Tamandua tetradactyla: one gene and its partners. The protein of the gene in region 1 interacts with the protein of each later gene in a biochemical or structural test. Links are inferred from orthologs where the notes say so. Each region holds a gene or a part of one and is shown in the gene's direction. Other genes may lie near its edges. The genes, in order: NR2F1, BCL11B, BCL11A and AHR.

Region 1 (7,750 bases):
TCCCGCCGGGAGGAGGCAGGGGAGAGAGGATGGGGCGGGGAGAGGGTATCCTGTTTTGAATCTGGGCTGATATTTCACTGGCGCGATCCTCACCTCCGAGGCGGTGCGGCGGCCTCAATGCCAGCCTTCGCGCCGCAGGGAAGGGGGCCGGGCGAGGGCAGCTCCCCGCTTGACCCCACGGAAAGTTCTCCTTGTCCGGCCCTGGCTAGGATCCCGGCCAGGGGAGGCTGTGAGGACCAAGGCCGCCTCCCCTCCTGCCCACGTTACCAACCCCGAGTTCTAGAGAAACGATAATTATTGCGTTACTCGCCTGGTTGGAGCAGGACTTGGCCGACTTTCGCTTCTGGTGCCCACGACGCAAGGTCCAAGGTCCGAGGGCGATTGGGCCCGCGGACCCAGCGTCCAGCTGGCCTCCAGTTGCCTGGCGCTTGTTCTTTCCTCCTGCTCTTGCCTCCTCTCCCACACGCTCCGTCTCTCTCCGCGCTCTTTCCTCTCCCTGTCTCCCTCCCTCCCTCCCTCCCTCTCTCTCTCTCTCTTTGCTTGTCTTCCTCTGTCTTCCACTCCCTGCCTCTGAACGGTCTCGGGAGTTAAAATTTAGGATTTCTATATAGAAATTTTGCTCTCTTTTTTTTTGGCCTGCTTTAATCGCATTTATTTCGTCTTTTAACTGACTAGGAGAGGTGAGCAAGTTTATTTAGGGAGAGGGGCAAGGGCGAGAAGTCTCTCGCCTCCAGTTGCCTCCTCTCCATCAGCTGCGTACAATGGGCTGCCTCTCACAGGGTGCATTCACAGTCTTTCCATTATCCGAGCTGGAGGGACTTGGGGGGGGGGGCAGGCACAAGAAAGCCTTTATTCTGCTCTTTAAAATATCTCTTCTGCTCGTCACTAGGCGGTCGCCGATTCCCGACTTGCAGGCTGGAGAGACAGGAAAGCGCGAAAAAAACACCCCAAACAGCAGCGCTTCCCAACTCCGCCTTGGTGAGATTTAAAGTGAGAACCAGTATTTTAAAAACAAACCCTTTTTCTGTCTATATAACGTGACTGTATACTTCCACCTTTACCTGAGGGCGTGTTGGAGCTCAGGATGCTGGAGCTGAATCAAACTTTCATGCTCTCCCCAGTCGAAAGGCTGGCGGGCGAGCTGGGATCCCACCCCGAAGGCTGCAGCCGCCGCTTTGTCACTCCGCGCCGCTCCGCGCCCGCCCAAGCCTGCCTAGGGGAGCGATCTCAAAACGTGGGGGGTGCAAGTGTGCGATTGGAGAATATGTAACTAATAGAAGTATCATCTTTTCCCCCTGTACAATCTTTCAAGGAAAAAAAAATCCATTGAAAGAATTTTCAAAGTGTTGTCTTCGTTTGGAGAATAGTCGCAGGCTGCCTGCGGGGAGTGGAGGAGGGACTCGGCTGTGCGTGGTCCGGGCGCGGCTCCCGTCCGCTAGGTGGCAGCCGGAACCAGCGATTCCTGCAAGCCCCGCAGTGGGACCGCTCCTCCCGCGGCCCCTCCTCCTGTGACCAATCACCTTCGGGATCAGGGCGCTCGCTCTCGCTCTCTCGCTCTCTCTCTCTCTCTCCCTCCTCTCTCCTCTCTCTCTCCTCCCTCTCTCTCTCTCTCTCTCTCTCTCTCTCTCTCTCTCTCTCTCTCTCTCTCTCTCTCTCTCTCTCTCTCTCTCTCTTCTCTCTTCTCTCTCCTCTCTCCTCTCTCTCTCCTCTCTCTCTTTCTCTCTCTCTCTCTCCCCTCTCTCTCTCTCTCTCTCTCTCTCCTCTCTCTCTCTCTCTCCTCTCTCCGTCTCTCTCTCTCTCTCTCCCTCCCTCTCTGTCTCTCTCTGGTCCCACCCCTCCCCCACCTCTCCTCTTCTCGCTCGGTCGCCCTCTCCTTTCCCGGGACTCTGACTTGTCTCCACTAATCCCCTCCAAACAACAAAATCAGGATTTACTTCCGTTTTATTAATAATTACTGAAGCGTTGTTGGGCGTTGGGAACAGCCTGGGGATACTTTAAAAAAAAAAAAAAAAGGAAAAACTAGATTGAAAAGTTTATTTTTAAAAACATCTTTGGAATCAATAAGTACAGTTGATTCGGATCGAATTTGTGGCAATAGCTGCAAAGTCCAGTAATTTGCTTTATCCAAATCATAATGTATTATAATTAAACCATTAAAACCAAGATGTACGGGGGTAGAAGAAAAATAGGGAAACCCTACCCTGTTTCTATAAAGGAAATAAAATTAACAGAAGCCACACTTGGTTTATTCCTATATAACTGAAGAAAACAATCCAAACCCAGTATATTTCACGAATCATTAAAATGATGCGGGTTTCATTCCCATTAATTTTTTTCGAACATTTTCAGTGACACTGCCTTCACGCTCATAAAATCTAATTTTAAAAACTTTTAAGAAGAAATCAAAATAATTTCCTTCTAATGCTCTTTTCAGCCCCACTACAAAACATTCTCCCCATCTCTATCCCTTCCCCCTCTGGTGTGAGTGTGTGTGTGTGTGTGTGTGTATGTGTGTGTGTGTGACCACAAACGACCCATACTAATCAGGTCTCAGAGTAAATAGCAGCGCAGGGCGATCTCAATGTAAATTGCGCTTGTCAGAAGCACAACCCCCTCGCTCACTTTCTCTCCTCCTCCCCTCGCCATCCCAGTCAGTAGGTAGCTAAGAGGGAGGGGAGAGAAAAAAAAGAAAGAAAGAAAAAGCCGAGGGGGAGGGGCTCTCCAACCAATGGCGTGCGGGAGGCTTGGCTAACCTTAGCCTCCCGTTTTCTCTCCCCCCCGATTCAGGGCTCTGACCAGTCAGTCGCCTTTGATTATCAGTTGCCAGCAGCCCTTCTCTTGGCTCCTTGACACGAGCTCCATATAAGGCAGCGATCTCCATAGAAACGTGTCAGTTTCAATAGTAGTGTCAAAGTTCACTATATACAGACATTCGCGCAGATCCCCCTTTCGGAAACATTGCTCTGCGAGTCCTCCCGTTTAAACGCATTCAATTTTTGGGTCTCTCTCTCTTCTCTCTCTCCCCCTCTGTTTCCCTCTCTCTCTCTCTCCCTCATCTCTCTCCCTCTCTCTCTTCCTCTCTCTCTTTCTCTCTCTCCCTCTCTCGCTTTCACTCTCTCTCTCGCCCTCTCTTCTCTCCCCCTCTCCCCTCTCCCCATTCTCCTTTCTTACATATTCTATTAGTTGTTCGCCCTTCTTCTTCTTCTCCTTCTTTCTCTCCTTTTCCCCCTCCTCCCTGTCTCTTTTACTCCATTCCTGAAGAAGAGAGAGGGCTAAACTTAAAAAAAAAAAAAAAAAAAAAAAAAAAAAGGAGGAGGAGGAGGAGGCACCCCTTCGTATTCTTCTTATCGTTATTTTATACATATATGATATTTTTTAGAGGGAGGGTGTTGGTTCCCGGCTGAAGAGCACTTATTTAAAATACTAAAAAAAGAACATTTTTGGGCGCTCTCCAGGGTTTTTTTAACTAGCTCTGTGTGTTATAGCAGAAGAAGCAGAAGAAGGAGCAAGAAAGAGAAAAAGAAGAGGATTATTTATTCGACCTACTTTGGATGTCTCACTCGCTTTTTTTTTTTTCCCCAATTCTTTTTGCTCTGATTTTTATGTTTTCAATTTCGCTGTGAATTCGTCGCCGGCGTGAATATCTCGTATTTTTCTCCCCCTTCCGTCACCTCCTGAAAGAAGAAGGCAACGAGAGCCCGGCGCCACCGGCACAACAAAAAGAGCAAAGTGTGTGATTCTCCTCGCCGGCTGCCTCCCGCTTTCCAGCGCTGCCTTCCTGAATGGCTGGCTGCGTCCGGCCCTGGACCTGGCCCCCCGACACCCGCGCGCCCTGATCGCCCCCGGCAGCCTCACCCCGCGCCCTGCGTGGCTCCCCGCGCTTCCCGCACTTCCGAGCCTGGAGAGGGCTCCCGCCGGGACAGCGGCGGCGGCGCGGTCGGCCCCGGCCCCGGCTCGCGCTCCGGCTGCAGCCCAGTCTCCGGCTCGGACCCCCGCCCCGGCCGGGGCTCCTCCAGTGGCGCTCGCCGCAGCTGCTGAGGCGGCGGCTCCAGCGGCGCCTGCAGCCGCGACCTCCTCCGCCGCCGCCGCCGCCGCCGCCGCTGCTGCCTCCGCCGCCTCCGCCGCCGCCGCCTCCGCCCTCGCCGGCTTCCTCTATGTCGGCTCAGCCCGCGCGCTGCGCGTAGCCCGGGCGGCCGGCGGGCGGGCGGGCGCCCGGCGCGGGTGAGCGAGTGTGTGCGAGTGTGTGTGTGCGCGGGGGTGCGGGCGAGGCGGAGGGCGAGTGTGTGCGCGCGCCGTGGCCCATGCCCGCCGCCCCCGGCGCAGCGCCCCGCGCCGCTCCCCGCTGCTGCCTGTGCCATTTCTGATTTTGCAACTTGGGGAAGAAGAAAAAAGCGAGAGAAGGGAGCCTGCTCGCGGGGGGGGGGTGGGGAGGGGGGAAGGAGAGTGCGGCCCCCCCCAGGAACGGAGCGCGGGGGGAGCGGGCTAGGGGAGCAGGGGTGTTGGGGGGGGAGCTTGAGAGCCTGGGGGGGCTGCAAAAAGAGAGAAAGAAAACAGCAGGAACCACAACAAAACGCCAGCAGGGCGGGCGGGCGCGCAGCAGCAGCGGGGCGGCCGAGGCAGTAGCGGCGGCGGCGGCGGCGGCGGCGGCGGCAGCGGCCGGTGCCCGGCTCAGGCTCGGTTCCCGCGACCCCGGGGCGCCCAGCGGGCCCCCCGCCCCCTCCCCCTCCCCCTTCCCCTTCCCCTTCCCCTCCCCGCGCTCTTGCGCTCCCCACGGCCCTTGGTGAGCAGCTCGGCTCCCCCCAGCGCTCCCCGGGCCCAAAGATATGGCAATGGTAGTTAGCAGCTGGCGAGATCCGCAGGACGACGTGGCCGGGGGCAACCCCGGCGGCCCCAACCCCGCAGCGCAGGCGGCCCGCGGCGGCGGCGGCGGCGCCGGGGAGCAGCAGCAGCAGGCGGGCTCCGGCGCGCCGCACACGCCGCAGACCCCGGGCCAGCCCGGAGCGCCCGCCACCCCCGGCACGGCAGGGGACAAGGGCCAGGGCCCGCCCGGCTCGGGCCAGAGCCAGCAGCACATCGAGTGCGTGGTGTGCGGGGACAAGTCAAGCGGCAAGCACTACGGCCAATTCACCTGCGAGGGCTGCAAAAGTTTCTTCAAGAGGAGCGTCCGCAGGAACTTAACTTACACATGCCGTGCCAACAGGAACTGTCCCATCGACCAGCACCACCGCAACCAGTGCCAATACTGCCGCCTAAAGAAGTGCCTCAAAGTGGGCATGAGGCGGGAAGGTGAATATTTCTTCTCTGCTTCTCTCCCCGCGCTTCGCCCGCTTTCTCGGCCCACTTTCTTTCTCCTTCGTGGGGGTGGCTGCTGTGTGGGGCTCGAGCGGTCCCGGCCGGTCCCAGCTTCCCCTGTCCCCGCTGCCTTTCTCCCCCGGCGTTCCCGCCCCCCCTCCCCAGCTCGCTGCCGCTGCCTCCCCCTCCCGGCCTGCGTTCCTCTCCCCGGCTCCCCACCCCGCCCGCTGCCTGCTCCGGATTGTATCCCTGGGATCGTGAGCTGTGGCTTAAAATCCCCCTCCCTCCCTCTGTCTTGGATGTGCTCGGTGTGTGTCTCTTTCCCGTGTGTGCGTGAGGATGCTTGGGGCTGTACTGGCATGAGCCTGGGGAGGGAGTGCTTATTTCCCCCATAAAACTCCCTTTCTGTGTTTTTTCATTCCACTTTTCCCTCCACCTCTTCATATCCTTTATTTAAAATGGGGGAGGGCGGCAAGCTGAAGTATTTTGAACCGTAGATTCATTGCTGCCATCATCCTTTTGGAAGCTTAGCTTGGAAAAGAGGAGTGAGATTTATTGCACTTGTAGGTCTAATTAGGGGGGAAGGGGGGCTTCTGGCCCGTTCACTGGTTCCCTGTCCTCTCCCCGGAGCTGGGGGCTGCCTCCTCTGGAGCTGTGGCCTTCTTTTCACCCCTCTACTTTGAAAGGAAAGTTTGTGACTGAACCGTGCTTTCATAGTTGTGTCATTTTTAAAGAAGCATGATACTCGTTTTATTTCTTCATCAAACTCCACCCTCTGCTTAAATACTGCATACAAATTACAATTTACAACGCATTTACCGATCCTTCTGATTTGGCCATAATGCATAGACTTACAGCTGGTATGAGCTTCCACTTCATTTAATCCCTGTGTTGTATGTTTCTTTCTTTCTTTTTTTTAAAACACAACTTTGATGTTGGGTTTAGATATGTTTCATGTTCATGTGGCAGGAGATTCAGCACTTATCTTATAAATATATTTAGCCATTTACAGTTAAAGTTTATCTCCCGACAATCGTTAAAGATGTCTTATAGTCAAATTAGCAAACCAGTCAATTTTGCAGAATGCAGATTACTCCTTCTTATAATTGACTTTAAAATTACATTTTATATGCCACAAGAAAAGAAATTGAAATCCTTTAGATCTCAAGGAGCAAGCAAATATGACGACTTCATTCCTAGCTCCAGGGAGATTTTGTAGGCATCTGAAAAAAACAACAACAACAACAACAACTTTGAATTGTGCTCTCATTTAATTGAAAAATAACTGCCAAGTTCAAAACTATAATTAGAAAAAAGTATTCTAGCCGTTATGTTTCAAGAGCTTAAATTGCACTTGGGCTTGCATTAAAATTAGAAGCAAGGCAAACTTAAGAAAATAGTACACTACCTGAATTTAGAAAGCTGCATGTACTTGGGTATATCTATATTAATTTGTTGGGGGGAGAGTTCAGTAGCCCTAACTTTTTCTAAAGTTGCCTTTGTTTACATGGCAATTTAAAATGCTGGCACTGTTGAAGTAAAACATACACTTTGGAAAAAAAAAAAACTTTGGTCAGCTTTAAGAACTCAAAGCATGCTTACGTTTTGCATTCAGATGGTTAATGAATCCAGTGTTTTTGCAGTTGCAAGCTCGTGCATTCACTGGGCAAAAGCTGGCTGCAGGTTGCAGTGGCACCGCACAGGACAAACATTAATTATTATTCCCACTTTTTCCAATAATGTTTGGCTACTGTAAGTTCAACTTATTTTCTTGAAAATATTTAGTTTTGTGTTGCTTTTAACAGCTAGAACTTTGTATGGGGCTATGTGGTGGAGGGGAGAGGGGAGGGGTGATGGATACTTGTTCTCTACTCAAAAGTTGTAATTGGTTAGTAACTTGTACCTATTTTAAGGATAATTCTATAGCATTTTTAGAGAATATGGAAACATTTTATGAGCAAAATGCTGCTTGCTTGCAAATAAGGAGGCCTCTAGCTATTTGCCTAGAATCACCACCTTTCTGAGGTTTCGCCTATTTTTTTTTTTTTTTAACCCTGATTTGCTTCAGTCTGGAGGGGTGAGTGGGGTTTCATTTTCCTGTGTGTTCCTCTTTGGTGGCGGAGGGGTTGGCACTTTCTTGTCTTAGGAACAGGGCTGGCCTTGCCGGGCCGGGGACGCTGAAGTCAGGCCTCGTTCCGGCACGGTTGGGGTAGCTAGGGGTGCAAGCAATAGCTGGGCACCTCGGGCCGCGGAGATGGCAGGCCTCTCCCCGGAACTCCTCGCGATGTAGGATGTGAGTGAGACCCAGCGCGCGAGAGGAGGTGCGCGGGGTGCGTGTGGCTGCGGGCAGAGCCTCCGCATTGTGTCGGGTGCGCTGCGGCGCGGCGATATTCGCAAGCTCCCTGGATGCACATTGCCTCTTTTCTCTCTTTCTTTTTGTCAGCGGTTCAGCGAGGAA
Region 2 (7,272 bases), on another chromosome or scaffold:
GCCTTCCTTAAGTGTTTGTGACACTCAGAAATTTGCTGTGATTTTCAGAAATGAATAAAATAATTCTAGAAGGTGTGCCAGGAAACCCAAAAGGCCTCTTTTGTCTTTTTATGCTTCTGGATTTGATAGTACCTAAAGATTCTAGGAAGGAGGAAAAGGCCACTTTGGGAGCCTTATTAATATGTACATATGATTTGGTTAGTGCCTCTGTTGTGGCTTCCCAGCAAGCTAAAATAAGCCAACCTGCTGATCAGATGGATGCATTGTATTTATCCTCATCTTCACCGTCAATAGTGATCCTGAGGAACAGAAATTAGCAGACATGTTCTGCTTCTGAGTTTGCCCCACACTTGCAAATGTGAGAAGATTTGCCTTCTCCGCATGGATATTTTCCTTTTTTTTTTTTTTTAAACATCAAAAACGAAGTCCAAAGGGATTTGGTAAAATGTGTCGTTGAGTTTTCATATTGCCACAAAGTTATCTGACTACATTTTAGAGGATGGATCCCTATTTGGAGAAAAAACAACAACAAGGAATGAAATGTCAATTTTTCTTTCTGCAGAAACATTGGGAGTTCTCATTTCTACTGACATTACTTGATTCCAAATTTTTGTAAAGACAAAATATAAAATATAACCGCTCAGGAGGCAAAGATAACGTTGTACAATCTGGAATAGAGTCTACCCTTAGCTAGGAGTTAAGTGTTGAGAATTGCTCAAAGAATTTTAAACAAAGACTCTTGCTTGTGGCTCACGTGCGTATGATCTGCCCCCACCCTACGGCATGTTACACAGAGGGAATTAGAGTTCCACACACAATTAACAAAAATGGACTCCGATTTGATGAAATAATTTTTGATTTCTGAACTATTCCTCTATAAAGACCTTTAGAGGGATGAAGAATATGAGGGATTACCTGCTGGAATGCACTGGAGAGCTAGAAAAAAAGAGCAGGGAAATATTTGTGAGCTCAAAAAGCTTTGGACATCTGCTTTTCTTTTTTTAAGACAGTGCAGAAAATGTGGCATTTCTTTCCTTCGAATTCCAGTGTGCACAAAGCCCAGCTCCCAGCACACAGTGGGCCTGCAGCAAAGGCTTGTGAAATAATCCTCAACTGTTGTGATATCAGTTTAGAAGCATGCTTGGACCTGCACTTTTTCCTCTTAACATTCTCATCTATGAACCATCTGAGCCCCCTTTTTTGGGGCAGCGGTGCCTGCTATTCTAAACAAAGATTTGGAAGATGCAGAGGTGGGGTTGGGGGGAGTGTAGTACCCTTCTCAGAAGTTGCTGCCTGGGTCCTGAGCAAGGGGAGGGGCGCGGCTGTGGGCTGAGTTCCGCCGCCCCCTTCCGGCGCCCCGTCTCCCCCCTTTGGCTGGGCATCCAGAGAGAGGGGAAACCTTCGCGTAGGCCAGCTGCCCCTGCGGGCGGGGTCAAGGGAGAGGTCAAGGTCGGCCGAGAGGCGGCTATTGATCCGGCTTGGAAAGCGAGACAGGGTGTTCGGCAAGACTAAAGGGGGAGCTGTGAGACCAGACATTAACAGCTCTCAGCGCTAATGATGCCCGTGCCAGACAGGCAGAGGGAAAAGGAGGAGACTGGAGCGGCAGCTGGGATCGCTCGCTGCCTGCGCTCGGCCGCCTCTCCGGAGACTAGGCGGAGGGCGCCGGGGCCAGCGCTGGGCTGGGCCGGGGCAGGGCAGCCTCTCCCGGTTGCCGCGAGGTGGAGCGCGCCGGCGTGAGGGCCCTGCGCCCGCGCGTCCCCCAGCGCGACCATCTTCCCGTCGTCGAGGGGCAGAGCCGGGCCAATGAGGAAGTGCTCCCCGGGTCAGTCAGGGCCCGCGCCGCCCCCTGCCCGCCACTTCCTGCTGGGGGTGGGGCGGAGGCGCCCCCTCCCCAGCTCGCGCGCGAGCAGGGCAGCTGCAGCTGGGGCCTCTTAGCGTCCCTGCGCCGCCCCCCGAGGGGCCCTCTTTGTTGAGGCTGTGCCCCACTCCCCCGAGCTACACACCGGGTCTCCCGCTTTTCTGTAATTAACTCCGGGAGGGCAAGGGAGCGGGAAGGGATTTCGGGGCCCGGACAGGAGGCGGCGTGGGGCCGCAGGCACCCCTCGGGGATACGAGCTCAGACCCGTCTCCGACGCGCTGTGTGACCTCCGGCCGGGAGCTCACCCTCTCTGGGCTTTACCCCGCCGCTTCCCACAAAGAGCTGCTAGGTGATCTCCCAAATTTAGGAGTCTGGGCGAGTCGGAGTGGTCGGTTTGTAAAGAACTTTATTAAAGAACTTTATTGAAGGTGCGTGTGGGCATTTTTTATCTCACTTAGGCCACTTTCATGGAAAGATTTTGGCGGTGGGACGGGTTAGGAGAAAAGGAAGGCGCTTCTGGACTTTGGACCACGTGGATGTGGTGGGTCGTGGGCAGCGGCTAGCAGCCGGCGGTAGGGGACGTGTGGATTCCTCCCCGCGTCTCCACCCATTCGGTCTGTGTGCGTCGACCCCGCAGCCTCCCATCCACCGAACTGCATGCACGCTAGGGCACACATTATTGTTGTGATTTTGGTGAGAGTGGTATGGGTAGGGAGTCCTTTCAGTCTTCGATCGTGAGCGCTGCGAGCTGTTGGTGCTATCGCCCCACCCAGGGTCTTCGAAGCGAACAAAAACTCCTTGCGCCCCTCGAGGAATGAGTCCCGCGGGAGGCGGCGCGCTGGGAGGCGCCACCACTCAGCGGTTCGCTGGGGTGAAGCCTCGGGGGCCGGGCCTGGGGGCGGGGTGGGTGTAGCTGGGCTCACCTCGAGCCAGGCCCCGACCCGCCTCGGCCACCTCCCGGGCCGAGACAGGAGAAACCCAGAGAAGGGAGAGGCGTCCAGCCGCGTGGCGCGCCCTGCCCAGGAGGTCTCGTCATCAAATAAGGCGGATTTGGCCGCGGCCCGGAGAGGGCGGGGTTGGGGGTGGGGGCGGTTTGCGGAGACCGCGGCCAGGCCTTGTACCCGGACAGGCCCCCACAACTCCTCTTGTCCTCGCCGGCTGGAGATCAAACGGCTGACAAGGCAGCTGTGTCCTTCCCAGTCTGCCGGGCGATTTCAAGTCCTGCCCTGCGCCGAGGGGCACTGGGGTGAGGGTGGAGGGTTCCTTTGAGGAGTGCTCTAATTGTCAGGGGATGAGAGAGAGCCGATCCGAGGGGTCGCCCACCCGAGGATCTGCAGAGATCGGCCACGCGACTTCTGGGGTCAGGACGTCCAAGTTCCTTCCCCACGTGGAGCATCCCTGTCCTCTCATTCCTGCGTTCCCCACAGACCCCGGCCTTAGGCGGCGGGGCCGAGTTTGATTCTCCGAGAAGTTGATGGGATGGAGTGGAGGGAGGGCAAAGATTCCGGTGGAGATTCCTTCTGGAATGGGACTCAGACCAGGTCTCAGGCGCCTCCGACCCCAACCCCCCTCCATTTGCTCTTAACTCTTTCCTTTTAGAGTCTTTTATTTTGTTCACCTTTCTCTCTGAGAGTGTATAATATCAGGTTTTAAGTGTAGACACTTTCTGGAAGTTTAACGCCGGCTCCCCAATAAAAACAAATAAATAAATAAAGCAAACTAGCCACTTTTCCAGGGAGGTGAAGCAATTGGCTTTTCCAACCTTTTCCGCAGCACCCGCCTCCCCCAAGTCCAAATGAGCTTTTGGGTGGGTGGGAACGTGTATTGATTCAACTTATTCCATGCACACAGCACCCTGCCGCCCCCCCACCCCCCTTCAGGGGGTCCTGCCCCCAGGAGGGGAGGAGGGATAAAGAGAAGGATTTTCTTTTATTTAAAAATATCTTGCCCACCTTCTCCCCCTTCCCCCCCTCCTTGGGCCTTGTGCCGCCCGTGCTCCAGGAAAAGAGGAGCGCACAAAACGCTCTTTGCACGTGTGGTCGGCCTGGGCCGCGGGTGTGCTCACGGGCGACTGTGTGTGCGCGCGCGCGAGAGAGTGTGTCTCTCTCTGTGTGTGTGTGCTTTCTTGTTCTCTTGCAGGGTACAATGTTAAAAAGCCACCGCTAGTCGCCCCCAGTGCTCCGACTCTCTGGGTCTTTTTGTCTCTAGTGCAGATTAAACGTCACGTCCGCACTTGAACTTGAATTTTATCCCATTGTACAGAGGCAGCCCCAGCCATAGAGAGACCGAGAGCTCCCAGAGAAGCCGGACTCCGCCATCTTCACGTTGCAATCTATAGCTCCCAGTCCGCGCCCGCACCGACCCAGGCGCGCTGGGCGAGCCGCCCCTCAGCCCCGCTCCCCCCGGGCCGCGGCGCCAGGGGAGCGCTGGGGAGCGCTCGCGGGGACCCGGCAGCCCCTCCGGCCGGCGCCAGCCTGCCAGGTGAACTGGGAAGGAGCCGCTCCTGGAGTCCCCCCAGAGCCTCAGAAGGGTCAGTCTCCGAGAAAAAAAAAAGAAAAAGAAAAAAAAAAAAAAAAAAAAAAGAGGCAGCCCTCAGAAAACCCAGAAACAACCGAATCCGAGCAGTTTTACATTGCTTTGGGTTTTTTGAGGGGGCGGGGGGTGAGGGGGTACGAGTCAAGTCCCCAAGTTTTCTTCGCTTTTTTTTCCTTCGTTTATTTTTTATTTCTTTGCATTTTTTTCCCCCTCTCTTCCCCCCTCCTGGTAGAAGTGCGCTTTCCTTCTACCAGCCCCCGAAAGAAAGTGTCAGGAGCCGGTGCGAAATCCAGTTTAAGTTCAAGAAGACATTTGGAAGTCCAAGAGGCCAGCAGTTTGAAGAAGTGTAAGCGATTTTTTTCCTTCAAAAGAATATATTTTTAGAGAAACCAGCCAGTCGGCAGCAAGCAACAGCAGTTTGATTTTTTTTTTTTTTGCCTCTTCTATTTTAAATCAAGAGGTTTTCCTTGTTTTTTTTTTCTTCTCTTTTTGCAAATAAAACAAAAAGCGGTATAGAAGAAAGAGCAAAATAAAGAAGAAGAGGAGGAAGAGAGGGCAAGAGAGGAAGGGGAAACACACACACACACACACACACACACAACACCAAGCCGGGCAGAGGAGGAGGCGCGGCGGCGGCAGCGGCGCGGCGGCAGCGGCGGCGGCTGGAACCCCCTCCCCCGGCTCCCCCCAGCAGTGCAGCTCTCCGGGCGATGCCAGAATAGATGCCGGGGCAATGTCCCGCCGCAAACAGGGCAACCCGCAGCACTTGTCCCAGAGGGAGCTCATCACCCGTAAGTGTCTGCGGCGTGCGCGCGAGGGGCCGAAGGATCGGTCTCCGGGCGCCCGGGGCTGGGGACACCGAGCCGGGCGCAGTCGGGCCGCGCCAAGCCGGGCGCTAGGGCCGCCTGCGGGCCCGCAGAGGCGGCAGCGGCGGCCGGGAGCATGGTGGGGGACCGGGGAGCCATAGGAAAGTTTCTTTACAGCCCAGGGAGTCGGGGCGCTGCTCAGCCGGGCGCGCCTCGGGCTCGGGGGCCCTCGGAGAGGGCTCCGGGCCGGGGAGGGGGCGCGCAGGCTGGAGGAGGTGTGTGTGTGTGCGCGCTGAGCCCAGCTGGACGCTCGCCCCTCCGAGCGGCGTGTGTGGCGGCGGCGGCGCTGGTGGCGGGGTTTGGAGAGGAGGGGGAGGGGGTTGGGGAGCGGAGGGGGAGGGGGGAGCCGGGAAGTGGGGAAAAGTTGGCGAGCGCGTGGGTCCGTGCTGACGGCGCGGGCGGAGCAGAGCCGGGTGCGCTGCGGCCTGGGGGAGAAGCGAGGCGAGGGGCGGCCGCCGGCTCCAGGTCCCAGGTTGCTGTGCCGGGCCAGGCAGGGCGCTGGCCACGCGGGTCCTCGGATTCCGCCGCGGCTTTTCTCCACCCCTCCTCTCTCTGTTTGCAAAAGAATCCAGCTGCGCGGCTGTTTGCCGGGCTCAAGCACCCCCCCCCCCCCATTTCCCCACCTCCGTCTGTCTCCTGGGATGATCTTGTCTTCTTTCCCCCATTCCAAAAAAGGTGGTGAGATTGGGGCTGGTGAAAAATCCCCGCCACGGGCGGGGTGGGGGGAGGTTGTCAGCTAGGAGTGGGAAGAGAGAGATGCGCTTGTAAAATAGTAAAAAGAGAGAGAGAGAGAGAGTGAGAGAAAGAGAGAGAGAGAGACCGAGAGACCTATCAATCTCTTATCCATCTTTCCAGCTCAGTATCTTTCATATTCCCCATCTAAATAAACAAGGCAGGTCGCCGTGGAAATCCACCGGTTGAAATCATGTGGATTTCAAGCAAGTGGCGGGGCGGGCAAAGTCGGGCAGCGGGGCAGAGACACGGCAGCTTCCAATGCCCCAGTTCGGCTTATTTAGAAAAGGAAACAAACGAGCGCAAGCGGGCTAGGTACAAGATTTGCAGAGGTGCCCGCCCGGGGCCCCCGCACAGCTGCCCGGAGAAGGGAGGCTCGCAGCACTCCCAGCCCGCGGGGCCGCTTCTTCGCCGCGAGCGAACACTTCCCGCTGTTCTTTCTCTCACTGTGCCTTGGATCGCCGTGGCCGTTTTTGTTTTTTGTTGTTTTTTTATAAAAATTATTTTATTGCAATTAGAAATAAAACATCCTGTGGGTGCCATCGAGACCGCGGGCAGGTGGGGTGCCTGCGGTCCTCCGCGCACCTCTCCCGGCTGGGGCCGGGCTGCCCGCGCAGAGCTGGAGAAGGCTGCGCGCCCCGCGGCTGCCGAGGACTGGCTGCGGGGCGGCCGAGAGCCGAATATTTATGTTATATTTTAAAAAATTTAAATAAATAAATAAATATATAAAGGGGTTCTCCCCTCCCCTGAAAACCCAGTGTTGGAGCCATCTGCTTGGAACATTTGCTGTTGCCTTCTCTCCTTTGTTACAGCAGATACATTAGTAAGAATTTGTGGATTTATTTTTTTTCGGGGGGGGGGGATAGATAAACCGGGGCTCGGTTTGGGAAAGGAATGCCTTTTTGGAGGGAGGGAAGGAAGGCTTCTCTTTTATTTTTCGCCATTGTAACAGCAAAGAAGACTCGGCTGGCTGTCTTTAAAACAAAATGTTTTGCAACCCGATTTGAGCCTGGTTTGATCAAGGTCCTTTTCGCCAGCTGACATTTCGTTCCTTTACCAAGTGGCAGCCGTTGCTTCTTCTGCCACCCCCACCCCCCCTTTTTAGATGGTGGGGTGGTTGTTAAAACGTCTATACTTGCAGAAGCCTAATTTCTCCAGGAGGCAATTTGCCCCCCACATTAGCCGCTGTATAAATGCAAGGGTCGTTTTTTGAGGAGGGGGAAGTGGTGGGGGTGGTGGTGGGAGAAGGGGGTGTTGTTGGGGGTGCATTGCTAGGCTGGC
Region 3 (7,939 bases), on another chromosome or scaffold:
CAGGGGTGAGGCATGGAAGGGACTGGGAGAGAAGGGAGCTGTCCTCTTTCAGCTCACCTTTTAATTTAGGGTGTCCACATAAGGCGACCCCTTCCTCACCCCGCTCCCTTCCCTTTTCATTTCATTTCCCTTTGTCTTCGTAGCACCTTTAGCACTTCCACACTCAAGAACCCCAAATGCAAAATCTATACCAAGTGTAGAATTCAAAGCTAAGTTTTATTTCTATAAAGATGACCGTACATTCTCTATTTTCCTGATCTGCCCATGATGGGGGGGAGGGGAGGGGAAGAGAAAAAGAAAAAGAAAAAGAAAAAAAAAGATGACATAAAAAGCAAAGTGTTACCAATCGTATTCTTAACCATTCATTGTCATTCATTTGTTTATCTTTAAGTCCAGAAGGGTGTTCCCCCTAAAGGCAGACAGTGAATATTTTATTTTAATCTTGTAGTTTCCAACGAGACAGACCTTTTAACCCTTCAGTCTCCAGCTCAGCCCGAGTTGCCCGCGCCAGGCGTTCCTGCGCACGAGGGCTGGGACTGTATTCTCCTCGCTCTCCGAGCTGTTTGTTGACCACGTTCACGTTCAGAGCCCTGGAGCTAAAAGCACTTTACACCATAAAATAAAAGCACTGTCTTTTTTTCTAAAAGGTTACGTCTGGAGGCCACGCGGCTCATACTTCATACCGAAAACTACTGAAAGGACTATGAAATTCTCTATGATTTACACTCTCTCACTGCATTAGGGTATAGATCTACTCGACTCTGAAAATACGGTGGGGTTTCTAACCGACGTGAATATATGTGCATTATTTCAGAAAGTCTGTTAGAAAACTTGTCAACACATTATAAAGCATAAACCAGGACTTGGCTATTAAGTACGGAGATCAGAGGAGGAATATATACTGCAGGAAGTCCTGGGGAGTCTCCTCCGCGGGCGAGATAAAAAGGGGGAGGAGGAGGGGGAGGGGTCATCTGCTGGCCTGGGGTTTACACTCAGTGTCGTCGCCGAAGGTTTGGGAAAGAGCCACGGAGCGTAATCACCCCCTCAATGGAATCGGCAAAGGGTCTACAGCCCCAAACGAAGTTAATTGAACGGCCAGAAAATCATTTTAACGTTGTCATAATTTATGACTTTCTAAAAGCCACTTCTGGAAAGGTAAATATAGTTACTGTGTGCCCAAGTGTGCGCTTTTAAAGTGACCTTTCACCCCCTCCACAAAACCACCTGCATCATTAATCAATACTTATGTAATATTTTTTAAACCTCCTAAAACAACACACTTTCATTTCTTTAAACACGCACAAACCCTCCCCTTTCACCACTTTTGGGCACTTTAGGGCGCATCGAGCAGCACTGAGGGAGGGGGCGTCACCGGGAAGGGAGAGGAACAGGGTGCAAGAGGGTGGGGGGCGAGGAGGGGTCGGATGCCGACGCACAGCCCTGGTTTTCGAGACCGGGCGAAATCTAACTTGGGGGGGGGGGAGGTGCGGGAGCAGAGGGCAGAGTTTCCATTTCGTCGTGGGCATTTAATGATGGTGAAATTAAATATATGTTAATAGTGGGAAAGTCGCTGCTTACCTCTGCACTGGCACCCAGGGAAAGCAGCTGCAAAACTGGCTTTTTAATGTATGTTTTAAGATGTGGTTTCGGAAGGACCCCCTGGAATCTGACACAAGTGCAATAACACAGTAGACCTACTTGTAACTAAGTGCTTAATTTCCCATGTTTTTTTTTTTTTAAAGAAAATCAATAAAATGTTGCCAGTTATTTATTGGAAATAACCACAGATAGCGGCCCTGATGGGGTGCCGGTTTTAGAGAGCCCACAATTGTGTAATGAATTGTAATTCAGAAGACTGTTAAATGTGAACCACAGAACCTTTCAGAGGTAATAAAGTCATTACTTTTTACACTACAGCCAACCCTGAAAAGCTTTATACACATCATTATATATAAATCATACGTATGTATTTCCACAGCACACATTCCCCACTTATATACTTTCTCTGTATATGGACTTTCATGGAGGAATGGGAATATTCAAATCTGAAATGCTCGGTTCCGAAAGAACCTGGCTCATTATCGCTACCTGCAGAGACTTTTATTTTATTTCTTTCTTTTTGAAGGCCTCCCAATTGCACTTTCTTCGTCCCGCTCCTCACCTTCCCTCCAACTGTCCGCCTCGCCGCCCCGCCTCCTCCCCCTCCCCCAGCAGTGACATTCATTTGGTAGCTCCAAGGCTGGTTTAACAAGACAAAAAACAGACCGTAGTGGAAGAGAGATGCTGACCTGCTCTGAAGAACTCATGAAAAAAAGAGGAAATGGTGTCACGCACACACGCCACAGAGCTTTATTGCAAGTGAATCTTCCTGCTTCTTAAACAGGATTAGAGTTTTTTCCCCTAAAACTGAAGCGAAACAACAACAACAAATCACATTTACACAGACCTAGACCAGCCCACACCTCTCATAACGCTGGCATCAAAACCACCTTCTCTTCCTTTGAGGGGCCCGGAGCTTCGCCCAGCTGGGCGAGCCAGGCATTTTGTAAATAGGCTTGAAACTTTACTAAGACGACACATGCATAAACAGGCGCTTGCCGGCGAGGCTGGGAGGTGGATGCGCGCGTGCAAGCCCGGGTTCCTGGTTTAAAACCATAACGCCTCTCCGCCGAGTGGGTGAATTTACAGAAAAGGCACCCCTTAGACTGAGGAGGAGATGAAAAGACACGAGGGGTCATGGAGCGGCTGGAAGGAGAGGGAAGGAAGGCTTCTCGCTCTGCAGACACACACTCACAAACGTCCACCTGCAGCTCGGGGTCTCGCGGGCAGCGGCGCGCAGTCTCCACCTGCACCCTCCGCGCCGCCCTGGGACTTGAGTTCATTTTCCTCCCCCCACCCCTCCACCCCCACCACGGCCCTTCCCGATTTGGAATCGGAGCGCTGTCTCGGTGGCGGCGGCAGCGGCGGCGGCTGCAGGGTGGCGCAGACAAGGGAGGGAGGCTGGGAGGCGGGAGACGCCGAGGGACTTTGCAGGCACGTTTCTGAATAAACTTTCCAATCGCAGGGGGTGCTGTTGCTGTACATTTTACGTAAAACTGAAAGTATCCCACGCCGGAGTGAAGCCCACTTTTTGACAGTGGCAACGTGTGTGTGTGCGTGTGTGCATTAAAGAGACAGGAGCTTATTTCCAACAGGTCTTCCCTAATTTCCAGGGAACGTCTGCAGAAAGGCGAGAGAGGGCTCGAGGCTCCCGGGTGTCCGCCTTGGCTCAGGGCGCCAGGGCGCCAGGGCGAGGCGGCGCTGACCCGGGGCTGCCGGTCGCTCCGAGGCGTTCACCCAGCCACCGTGGCTTCCTGGCTGCTCCTGCGAGCCAGTCGCTCTCTCTCCATTCCCCATTTTCTCTTTCTTCTGGTAACAGCATGGGAACAGTTGTGTCCTGCCCCCCGAGGAAACATCTTCTTTCCCTCTCTCTGTGCTTTTGCGGTTGCTCTGTGGCGGGAGGGGGTGTGGCCCTCCGCTGGAGCCTGCACCCGGGCCTCCCCCGGCGCGAGGAGCACGTTCCCAGAGACTGGGACTCCCGGGACTGCCCGTGCTTTGTCCTCCCGCCCGCGGCCGCTCGCAAAGGTGGACGCCTCCGCTCCTCCCTCGCCCTGGCCCTGGCCCTCGGCGCTCCCCTTTCGGGGCCAGAACGCACCCTTTCCTCTGGCTCCCGGTTCTTTATTCCTCGGCCTCTCTCTCATTCCGCGGCCCTGGGGAGCCTGGATTCCGCGATTCCAGCTGCATTCAGTCCTTGCCAGGCCCTTGGCCGAGCGCTCGGGTCCCCAGCCCTCGTCTCGGTCTTGGGGGCGCCCTCCCGACCCTCCGGCCGGGGCTTGCGCCGCCTGCCACCTTCCTCGTCCCTGCCCCCTTCCTCCACGCCGCCTGGGCCCGGGGAGGCCCTCGAGCTGCTCTTCCGGGCCCACAACCATCCAAACTTGGGCTGGACTCCGCTCTATCGCGCGCTCCCTCCCGCCTCCCCTCTCCCGCGGCGGAGCTGTAACTTGGAGGCTCAGCTTTCAACTTCGGGTGATTTTTCTTTGCTTTCCTCTCCTCAGGCAAAGTTTCCCGAGCGCAGCCGCGGGCTCCGGGCTTTCACTTCTGCCCCGGGCGTCCGCTGGCGGGAGCGAGTGCGGCGGCGGCGGTGGCCGCGGGGAGGGGAAGTGGGTGTGCGTACCGAGCGGGGTGTCCGGGAGCAGTTCTACCTGGCTTCCCTCCGCCCGCGCTTCCCCGGCCCTGGGTTTCAGGCTCCCGGTACACTCTCTCTTTTTTTTCCTTTAATCTTTCATTTTAGGGTCCTTATGTGGTGGGGGGTGGGGGGGTGGGGCAGCAGGGCGCGCGTCTTGCTCCCTCCACCCCCGCCGCCCCTTTCTTCTTTCCTGGCCACGCCGCTGCCGCGGTGCTTGCTGCGGCCACTGGTGAGCCCGCGGCCCCAGCGCCCCCTCCCCTCCTCCCGCCCCTCCCCCGGGGGCCGCGTCTGGCGTCTGCGGAGCCCCCCGCCCGCACCTCCCCCGCCCCGCACTGGCCATTGGCTTGTCCTGGTCTCTTTTTCATGTCCAGCCCCTGATGTGTGTCCATTGGTGTGAGCTTCCCCTTCCCTCCTCCCCTTCTCTCCTGCTCGCCCTGCCCATGTTTTGTGTGTCTCTGTCCATCCAGACTCCTGACGTTCAAGTTCGCAGGGACGTCACGTCCGCACTTGAACTTGCAGCTCAGGGGGGCTTTTGCCATTTTTTTTCATCTCTCTCTCTCTCTCTCTCCCTCTATCTCTTCTCTCTCTCTCTCTCTCTCTCTTTTTTTTGCTTAAAAAAAAAAAAGCCATGACGGCTCTCCCACAATTCATCTTCCCTGCGCCATCTTTGTATTATTTCTAATTTATTTTGGATGTCAAAAGGCACTGATGAAGATATTTTCTCTGGAGTCTCCTTCTTTCTAACCCGGCTCTCCCGATGTGAACCGAGCCGTCGTCCGCCCGCCGCCGCCGCCGCCCGCCCCGCAGCCCACCATGTCTCGCCGCAAGCAAGGCAAACCCCAGCACTTAAGCAAACGGGAATTCTCGCGTAAGTAACCCAATAATAGTAATAATAATTATTAATAATCACGAGAGCGCGCAAGACGAGAAGCAAGAGCGAGGGGGATCGAGGGGTGTGTGCATGCATTTTTTATTTTTCACGAGAAAAATCTCCGAGAGTCCTGTTCAAAGAGACTCAAAGGGGGGAAAACCCTCATCCCATCTCGCACCATAGCCGTGTGCACTTTGGGGATAGCATTTGCCTTTTAATTTTACTTAATTAAAAAAAAAATTTGACTCCTCCTCTTACCTTCTTTCCACTGCTTTATTTCTCTTTTAGAAAAGGAATGCAATGATTTTGTTCCCCAGTTTTGCAACATAATGAACAATGCTAAAGGATGCGAACAACTCACTTGCAAACCTGGGGGAGGGAGTTGCAGGGGAAGGGGGGGTTGCTTTCACTCAACGTAGGAAAATGGGGGGGAGGGGGAGTCCAAGCCTAAAATACCAATTCCCGGGGAGAAAAAAAGAGGTAACACTGGCCCTCGGACGCCAGCGCACTCACGGTCAAGTGTGCACCGGGAGGAAAGTAATCATCCCCACAATAGTGGGAAAGTGAGACTGTAAGAGGGGGGCCCGGACGCTCTGGAGTACGCCAGGTCTGAAGAGGGGCCGCGCGGTGGGGAGAGCCGGGGGACCGGGAAGGAAGGGAGACGCGGCCGGCGCTGCCGCCTTTTGTTCCGGCCCGAGGTGGGTGTTTGTCCCGCTGCCTTTTGTGCCGGCTCCTCGCGCTTGCCCTCCCGCGCCGCCACTGCCGCCGAAGGGCAGGGGCAGGGGCCGGGGGAGGAGGCGGCTGGGGACGCGCGCGAGAAGAAGGGAGGGCGCTGGGGCCGTCGCCGCCCCGGTCGTCGCTGCCCGCCGCTCGCTACCGAGCCTCCAAGGCGAGGGGAAGACGTGTAATAAAATAAAATGAAATACCATAAAATAAGGCAAGAGAAATAGAAAAATTCGTGCCCGAAACCAGAAGCCAAACGTTACGACAGCCCTTTCTACAACGGTCTCCTCTTTGACTCCCCCACCCCCCACCCCCTGCAAAAATCTCACATTCTCTAACCAGGAAAAAAAAAATCGCAATCATCCCCTTCCCCAAAACCCCTTCAGTTGCAAACTTAGAGCGCCGGCGGCACGGAGAGGGAGCGAGGAACTCCCTCCTCTTACTATTTTTTGGAAGATTTTCAAAAAAAGTGGAAGTGGATTTTGATTGGGAAAAATCTCGTGTCTGAATGTTTACAAGCACCGCGTGTGCGGGAGCCTCCTGCCAACAAACAGAAAGAGGACCGAGCGCGGCGGGGCCGCCCGGGAGCGGGCGGCGGCGCGGCCGGGCCTGGCCAGGGACTCGCCGGGCCTCACCGCGCCCCCACCCAACCAGGGATCACCCACCCGGCTCCCGCCCGGCCGCCCGCGGGGCAAGGCGGCGCAAGGCTGCAGGCCACGCCGCGGCTCCGCGCCAGCCGGGTCCGCGGTCCCCGCCCGCCCCCAGCACAATGCCCAGAACTCCTCTTAGCCTCCCCGCCGCCAAACCGGCTGGGGAGAAACTCGGCTTTGCAAAGCATTTTGCAAAGCAGTTGAAAAAGCACATTTCTGCGCGGGTCTGCATCACCCGCTCTCCTTCTTCTTCCCCCCTATGGTACTCTCAGACGTTTCTTGTCCAGTAGTGCTCTGGGTAACAGGGGACAGAAGAGAGGTCACCACGTGCTTCCCTTGCTCCATCTCCCTCCCGGTCTGGCCACCAGCAACCTGCGCCCGAGCGCAGCCAGGCCAGGTGTGTGTGTGTGTGTGTGTGCGCGTGTGTGTATGCCGAAGATGGGGAGTGGGTAAGCAGAGAAGTGTGTTCGAGTATGTGCTTTGGGGGCGCTGCATTCAGAGACCCCCGCGCTCTTCATCCTTGGTTCTTGCCCTCTTCCTCGGCCAGGTTCGGCCTGGGATCCTTTTGAATCTATATACCAAGGGGAAGGAGGGTGGGGGTGGGGGCTCCCGGTTAACTGAGTGCGCCTGGAAAGGCGGGCGGTGGGCACTTAGGAAAGTTTGGCAGCAAGGGAAAGGCAGGTGTGAGAGGACTTGCATTCCTCATCCAACCCCCCACTTCACGACATTTTAATTTTTGATGCAATTTTTAAAGGACCACCTATACCCAGTTCTCTATTTTTTAAAGGGGTGGGGAGTGCGCACAGGGAACAGCATTTTTCACTGGGCCCTGGAACTTGTCACACACTTCGGAAGCTCCCCCGCTCCCCCCGCCCTCGCCCCGGCACGTTGCGGGGCCCTCCCTCTCCCCACCCCCGCGCATCCCTCTCTCGCCGCTCTCCCCCGCCCCCCACTCCCCGGGCCGCGCCGGATGCGGAGCAGACGCGGAGCGCGGCGGTGTGAAGTTACAGCCCGGCCAGGTACCGGCGGGAAGGAAGGGCAGTGTGCGCAGGACTCGGGAAAACCGGGCCCTTCTTCTGAAGGATGCTTTGGGGGCTCAAAGGACACTCTGGGGTGTGCAGTTCTGGCTGTTCTTCCCTCACACTTCTCGGGTCCTTCTCCGGCCACTCCAGTTTGGAGACTTGGCCTCCTTCGCCCCCCACCCCCCCCCATGAGGGTGCTGGCCCTGAGTTAAGAGGCCAGTTGGGTGGGTGCTGGGGTCGCTCCTTTCCTTCCTTATTTTCTGGGCGCGTCGAGGGGGGCGGGGGCTATCCCGGCCCTCAGCATCGCCCCCCACCTCCTCGCCCCAATCCTCCGCTTCTTGGACCGAGTGAACCGTTCGGTCGCTAGGAGGCAGAACAAGATCGAGAAAGCTCGGCGAACTTGAACCTGTACCAGCCTCCTCCCCCACCCCCTCTGCTCTGCGTTACT
Region 4 (7,115 bases), on another chromosome or scaffold:
TAAAAATCCTAATGATCAGGCCACAATCCGGATCAATTAAATAACAATTCTAGACCAGAGAGCCAGATGTCCATGTTTTAACATTCTTTAGGTGATTATAATGTGTAAGAAAAGTTGAGAACCACTGTCTACAGATTGATTAAATTCAACTTCAATATTTTCAAGAAAGAATACATTGATTTTGCTTTTTAAATATGCATAAAATCATGTAGTCTTTTAAAGTTTAGCAAATCTAAATTACATACTTTAGGTCAGAGTTTCACAAAAATTTACATTTCTTTAGGCTTTTCTTATAAAGTCGTAATTTTCTCTTTTTCTCAATAGTTTTTCCTTAATCTAAATGCATTTAATCTTCATTACAGTTTATTCTGCTTATGATTTAAAGTGAAAAAATTTATGTATATAGTGTTATGTAGATCCTAATTGTATTTATCCCAATTGCTACATGGCTTTAAATAAAAAAAGACATATATATATATGAGAGACATAAATTATTTAATAAAATGTTTAATAAATGAGATAGGACTTTTAGCTTCATTTTTTTCATAATCTTTCCCTTAATGAAATTTCACATTTATAAGAACAGAAAGTCCAGAAAGCAAAAATCAAAATCTAAGTAAGCCTAAATTGTATTAACTTTAATAGAGTGTTCTTTTATGTGTTAGTCTTGATGTTTCTTATGACAAAGTGTTATCCTTGATAAATTTTACTTTGACTAGTAACAAAATATCCCTATTTTTTATTGAGGTTTCCTTGTCAGTTTTAGCATTGACATTAGTCTAAAAGGTATTTCCAAAGTTCTTCACACCTGTTAATTACTTGTTTGGTTCTTTTGAGTAGGACATTTTTGTAGACTAGTCAAGTAACTCAGGAAGGCATTATGCATTTAAAAATAGCCTTTAGAAACAGCCCCTAGTCTGTTCTTCAGTGCTAGAGTAGAAAAAAAAGTGATGAATAAATGAAATTATTTTAAAGAAATAAGATAGTTCCAGCTGAGATAAGATATATATTTTAGATTGAAACAGGAGTTTACAAGAACTGGATTCTATTCTGGGTGTGATCCACAGGCCACTACACCCATCTGGGCCTGACATTTCTCATCTGTTAAATGAAAGGTTTAGCTATGCCTAAATTTCTATAGCTTTCTCAGTTTGGTGTCTCAGTAATTCTTCCATGTTGTCACAGACTAAAAGAAATCAGACTCAACAATTGCACTTAAGTGCAAGTTAAGTTCAAGATTACATATGTTTCTCCTAATAACTTAGTGGCTATTTGAAGAAATATATGTACCCTTTTAAAAAAACAATATTTTATTTTAGTCTTAACGGGATGTGTGTGTCTGATGGGTACTACATATCTTCCAAAACCCTGCAGTCAGGTTGGAAATCAACATCTTCATTTTCTGTCCCACATTGATTTTTCCAGTCCTTGCATTTTATCACAGCTAGTTACAACAGCCCATCTAGATATGATTTCATCGAGAGGAATGAGGAACCATTTAACGTTGGAGCTGTGAACCACCTCTTGCCAGGGGTTTACATGGTATCCAATTGTTGCTCAGTATCACTGAGTTTCCCTTGAAAATTTAAAATATTCCAAGATGGTACTCCCAGGGCACTGGGTACGGTTTGGGAAGCATGGGGTTATGCTCTCTAAAGTACGTTATACACCACAGAATATAAGTAAAAAAGATAATTCTGAAGGCCTGGAATAAAGAGCTGCAGGAATGAAGAGGAAGTGAAAATTCTACTTAGCGTCCTGATTGCATGAATCTCTTCCCCTGCCCACTACTCCCACAAGATGTCTCATTATGCTTCGGATCTCAGCTCAATCCTCTTCTAGGCAGCTTCCCCTAAGTCATATCTCCCAATTACACATTCTTATCGTGCTCGTACAACACTTATTATTATTGCAATTACGCATTTATTTGTGTATTATTTGATCAATTCTAGTTTCTCCGATTAGAATATAACACTGAGAGGGTTATCTCTGATATTTCCATTGTATCCCACAGCATCTGGCACTGGACACCTTGCTGAATGAAATCAAAGTACTGTGATAAAACAGGTTTCACATTCTTTTTTACCCCCTTTATTCTAAAACAACTGTTATCTATAAAAGTATTCCTGAAATTTACTTCTTTTTCTCAGTCTAACAGGAAAATGGAACCCAAACATAATCTGTATCTGAAACCTCAGAAAATAATCACAAAACTAATTAGAAGGATGGCGTTGCTTTGGATAAGGCAGTCAAATATTCATGAAGTCTTTTAAGCAAATTACTCATTATAAGAAAAAATCATATTACTATCCAAAAACTGCCTATGGAAACTTCAAAAATCTTAGGGGATGGCTACAAACCATACTTTTAGCTAAAAGAAATGCTTTCAATTTTTTGATGCACTCAGTTTGAGGTTACAAATTTACTTGTCGAAATGGCTTGAAGGCATTTGAACTATAGGAATAGATATGTGAGATGCCATTTAGGCATCCTAATCTGCATACCCTTCTCTGTGCCCACTATCTTGGCTAGCAGCACCTACAGAAATTGTGGATGCCAGCCTCGAGTGCGCTCTTACCCCCTATTTCTTTATCCTTTCTATCTTCATCTGTGTTTTTTCTCTTCTCTCCATCCCACCTGCTACTTGCCTGGACTTTTACTTCAACTATTTCAACAACTACCCAACTACTCTCTTTGATTCTAATCTTTATAATCCAGCTTTCATCTTCATCCCAGAGCAGTTTTCTAAAACACCAGAATGCAATCCCTTGCTAAATATATTTTAAAAGATTCCATTGCCTACAAAATAAATTTTAAACTCTTCATCAAAGCTTTATGAATTAATCCCCAAATCTCTGAACAGCATGCCCAGCTCCTCTCTCCCTCTGTCCCAATTAGAACAGACTGCTACTTATTCCCAACACTTCCTGCCCTAAGTGCTTCCCCATTTCCTTTCTTCCACTAACCTTACTGAAACCTGACCTTGGAATAAGTTATCCTGATATTATACTGAGAAGTGTGGAGACAAATTGTTAAAAAAAAAAAAAAACAACGAAGACGACAAAAAAAAAAAAAAAAAAAAAAAAAACCTGCTGCAAAAATTCCTAGCCTTCAAGTCTAAACTCAGAAGTGACCTTCTAAAGTCTTCCCAAGTAGAACAATTTAAGCAGTCCTACTGGTTATCTTTCAATTCACTGTAATTCTCAGTCAAAAGTTACTCTTTCTCAAACAGGTGAAGTTAAACTCACTATTTGATATCGTGTAGCTACAGAAAGCTTGGCTACACGTAACTTGTTGTCACACCCTTTCCCCACCTGGAAATAGGTCCACAGAGGAAACCTCTTCTTGACCTCACCAAAATGGCAACTGAAGGGCGTCATTGCGTCTGACGTCATTACGCTCAGGAGGGTGGGGACCCTCCAGGGAAAGAGCCTGACAGGGAGGAGTCGAGGCTGGCAGGGCGGGACCGCGATGGGAGGGGCGGCGGCCGTGAGGGGTCTCAGGCCTTCTGCTCTCCTGCCAGCGCGCGCCACTGGAAGCGGCGCGGGCAGAGTGCGCTGGACGCTTGGTACCGACGGCGAGCCCAGACCCGCGAGCTGAAGGTAGGGGCAGCCGAGCGGCCGAGCGGAAGCTGGTGACCACCGGGACTGGCGGCTGGCGCCGGATTCCGCGGGCGGGGAAGCCCCGGAGCAGCGCGGCGGCGCCTGTTCTCACCCGCGGGGGCGCGGAGCCGGTCACGGGGCGCGGCGGCACCGCGCACGACCCAGGCCAGGCACCCAAGCAGCTGGCCCGGGCTCCTCCTGCGCCCGGGCTGTCTCACCTGCGGCCGCCCCGCCCACGCCGGTATAGGCGGCACCTGCGCCCCTCGCCCCGCGCGCCAGGCCCGGGCGCCCCGCGCTGCCGCGGCGCACCTGGAAGCGCCAGGGCTGCGGGAGCCGCGGGGCACCTGGAAAGGCCGGGGCTGTGGGAGCCGCGGCTCGCCTGGAAGGGCCTGGGCTGCGGGAGCCGCGGCTCACCTGGAAGCTCCCGGGCTGCGGGAGCCGAGGCGCACTTGGAAGGGTCCGGGCTGCTGGAGTCGCGGCGCACCTAGAAGGGCCCGGGCTGCGGGAGCCGAGGCGCACCTGGAAGGGTCTGGGCTGCTGGAGCCGCCGCACACCTGGAAGCGCCGGGGCTGCGGGAGCCGAGGCCCCAGCTTCCGCGCGGGAGGACGCAGGTGGAGCCGGCGCGTCTTCTCGGAATCCAGCGCGGGCGGCCGGCTCGCCCGGAGCAACGCGGGGCGCAAGGACGTCGGAGGGCCGCCGCTGGCCGGGCACCATGAACGGCAACAGCGCCAACATCACCTATGCCAGTCGCAAGCGGCGAAAACCGGTGCAGAAAACGTGAGTGTTCGGGGCGGCATCCTCGGGGGAGTGGGGGTGGAGGGGGCTGGAAGGCGCGTGGGGTCCGGCTGGCACCTCTGGGAGGGGCCCGCCCCCACACCCCCGCGTTTCGGGCGTTAGGTGGTATTTCCAACACAGCCGATAGAATCCAGATTTGAAGGTCGGTCGAGAGACTCGGACTTTTTAAATTTTTAATTAAGTTAAGAAATTGTCCCTTCTGACACCAGTGCCGAGCCCACCCACACCCCACCCCTTCACAGCTCTATTCTCCCTTCTGCGGTCCCAATTTGTGGACAGCTCTGGCCTTCCCTGTGCTGCTGGTGGATTAGCTAGCATAAATCTGCTCGAAATCCTCTTCTTATTTTAATGTCCGCATCGGTTAGAGAAGACGACTGTCATAATTCCCAATCTTGGAAAAGACAGACATCTGGGTAGGGCGAGGAGTTTTAAAGAGCTTAAAACGTGCCGTTTTGAAGCTGATTTTAGGGGGCTAGAGCGTCTGGGTTTCTGTTGAGCAGTTTTATTTATTTGATTGTCATTTTGTAGCGTCCAGCGTGCCTATAGATAGGTAAAGAGAGTAGTAAGGTTTGGTGTCAGGTGTGAGTGGTGCAATGGGGAATTGAATTCGTAGTCACGTTTTTGGGAAGCTTTGCCATCACTTGTGAGGTGCATTTGCAGTCTGTAAAGTGAAATATATGGAGCTGTATTTAAGAGAGTCGTTTTCATTCTTAGTACCTTCCTCTAGTTCCCTTTCTTCCCTACCTCCAAGCTTTTTCAATTCTAGTAGAGTGATTCCAGACTTGGATGGGAGTCATGGGAAGCGGCATATTTGTATGAGATGGCAAGTACTTTAAAATAGTGTTTAAAAAAAAATTGCGACAGATTTCCTTTTATCAGTTTCCAGTGTCGATTCCTAATTATAATCTGAGTTACTTTAATTCATCTATATTTTAAAATTTTTTATAAACTATTTTAAAAGCCCATTAAACGTCTGTTCAGTACATCAAAAATATGTATTTTGTTTAAAACTTTAGTTGGTAATGCCAATAGAGAAATAACAGTTTAAGATTTGCATTTGAAACTAATTATTGGTTGAAGATTTCATCATTCTAAAGTTTTAATTTCCTCTTAGATTTTCTGTGATCTTAGTGCCTCAAATCTAGACAAAGAAATTGGCATTAACAAAGGATATTGGACCGTCTATAAATAGACTGATTAAAATCCAAAAGTCTTATTTATCCTCTGTGTCTGACATTAGGTATATTGCTGAGTCAGCAGTTACTGTCTGGGTTACAGAACAGCGCATTTTGTGAAATAGCTTCTTATGTAAAATTATTTGTCCAATTTAACTTTGTTCTTGATGATTAAGTTTGGAAATATCCAAAATGCCTGTCCATGAGGCTGCTAATATAATACCATCCTTAGCTTATCATATAATAGAGTATCATGAGTTTTATGTGTGTGATCAGAAAATCTGACAGACTCCCTGATGGATTTTTAAGATATGAATTTCAGTCAGTGTGTTACAGAATGACACACCTGGCTTATTATTATTGTTATTAAATGCCTTAATTTTATATTCATTATGGAAGGCAACGTTATTAATTTATAGTTAATATTTTATTAGTTTTCCTTTTGTATTAATTTTTCCTTTTACTTGTATAATATGGACGCTTTATTATAATCTCCTAATATTTAACATACTTCCTAAGACTTTACTATACCTTATTTAGTAATTTCTTGTAATTCAGTATAACTAAAGCATTTTTCCTCATTCACCCTCATTTAGTTAGTATAGATGGCTGTCAGATCTTTACTGAACATCATGCATTACTTCTAATCATATGAATGCCTTAAAATATCATTTATTAAGGAAAGCCTAGTGCTAGCATTTACATGCTCAAGTGAAATGGTTTGCAAACTTCTACCTAGATGAAAAAGTTAACTTTATAATGGAGTTAATCAAAGGGAACTTTGATTTAGGAGTGAGGCCATTAAACCTAATCCTAAGTTTAATGTAATTTTTTTAGTTAAATTATTAGTTTGTGGCTAATGGGGTGTAAAACGTGTCAGCATTCCCACAGAAAAAATCCATCTTGTTCGGCTGACAATACTCTCCAGATCTTCTTAGCTTTGACTCCTTAAGTGATAACCATTTTACTTTTCTTGCATAGAAAATATGTTGTTTAGCACAATTATAAGACTGTTGAAAAACAGTTATTTAAATTTACAGTTCCATAAAATTTGGGGATAGAGTAAGAGACATAATTTTATCCTGAAGCTCTTCCAGCCTTCAATTCAATTTATTAAACAAAATAAACTCCCCCTAGTGGCAGGTCTAACATGGACAATTACCTTTATTAGTAGGAAATACATTTTAAGTGTGTTTAATTTAATCCTATTAAAGTATCTTTTACGTTGTAGATATTCAATAAATGTTTCTTTTCTCTTTGGAGTAGTGGTAATTAGGGAATTGAAGGGTCAGAAGCAAAGTTGAAGAAAGCATCTGATTCATGTTCCTGCCTTCACAAAGAAATTTTCAAAGAGAACCTCAGTAATAGATTGTCCTGTAGCTTTCCGTAGAACATTATTCCAATACTAATAACCTTGCTTGTTTTATTGAGTTTGGAGATAAAGGTGTTATTTATTTATTGTTTATTTTGTTTCATGAAGTCCACTATTGAATATAAATAGAACCAGCTTTTCTACTGTGATATTAACTCAGGACATATTTCT

What was found.
Region 2: the proteins of NR2F1 (region 1) and BCL11B form a complex in vitro, tested with the Homo sapiens proteins (2 studies listed by BioGRID). The link is inferred for Tamandua tetradactyla from reciprocal best matches to the Homo sapiens genes NR2F1 and BCL11B.
Region 3: the proteins of NR2F1 (region 1) and BCL11A form a complex in vitro, tested with the Homo sapiens proteins (2 studies listed by BioGRID). The link is inferred for Tamandua tetradactyla from reciprocal best matches to the Homo sapiens genes NR2F1 and BCL11A.
Region 4: the proteins of NR2F1 (region 1) and AHR form a complex in vitro, tested with the Homo sapiens proteins (2 studies listed by BioGRID). The link is inferred for Tamandua tetradactyla from reciprocal best matches to the Homo sapiens genes NR2F1 and AHR.

The regions. Positions count from the first base shown.
Region 1 is NC_135347.1:37,656,741-37,664,490, reverse strand, and holds the start of NR2F1 (COUP transcription factor 1), read left to right. Parts: upstream 1-4,749; 5' UTR 4,750-4,823; coding exon 4,824-5,286; intron 5,287-6,441; exon of another isoform or gene 6,442-6,456; coding exon of another isoform or gene 6,457-6,515; intron 6,516-7,735; coding exon 7,736-7,750. UniProt on the Homo sapiens protein: Coup (chicken ovalbumin upstream promoter) transcription factor binds to the ovalbumin promoter and, in conjunction with another protein (S300-II) stimulates initiation of transcription. Binds to both direct repeats and palindromes of the 5'-AGGTCA-3' motif.
Region 2 is NC_135338.1:60,547,505-60,554,776, reverse strand, and holds the start of BCL11B (B-cell lymphoma/leukemia 11B), read left to right. Parts: upstream 1-4,271; 5' UTR 4,272-5,126; coding exon 5,127-5,184; intron 5,185-7,272. UniProt on the Homo sapiens protein: Key regulator of both differentiation and survival of T-lymphocytes during thymocyte development in mammals.
Region 3 is NC_135343.1:32,912,248-32,920,186, reverse strand, and holds the start of BCL11A (BCL11 transcription factor A), read left to right. Parts: upstream 1-4,933; 5' UTR 4,934-5,038; coding exon 5,039-5,093; intron 5,094-7,439; coding exon of another isoform or gene 7,440-7,488; intron 7,489-7,939. UniProt on the Homo sapiens protein: Transcription factor. Associated with the BAF SWI/SNF chromatin remodeling complex. Binds to the 5'-TGACCA-3' sequence motif in regulatory regions of target genes, including a distal promoter of the HBG1 hemoglobin subunit gamma-1 gene.
Region 4 is NC_135327.1:106,847,395-106,854,509, reverse strand, and holds the start of AHR (aryl hydrocarbon receptor), read left to right. Parts: upstream 1-4,099; 5' UTR 4,100-4,314; coding exon 4,315-4,379; intron 4,380-7,115. UniProt on the Homo sapiens protein: Ligand-activated transcription factor that enables cells to adapt to changing conditions by sensing compounds from the environment, diet, microbiome and cellular metabolism, and which plays important roles in development, immunity and cancer.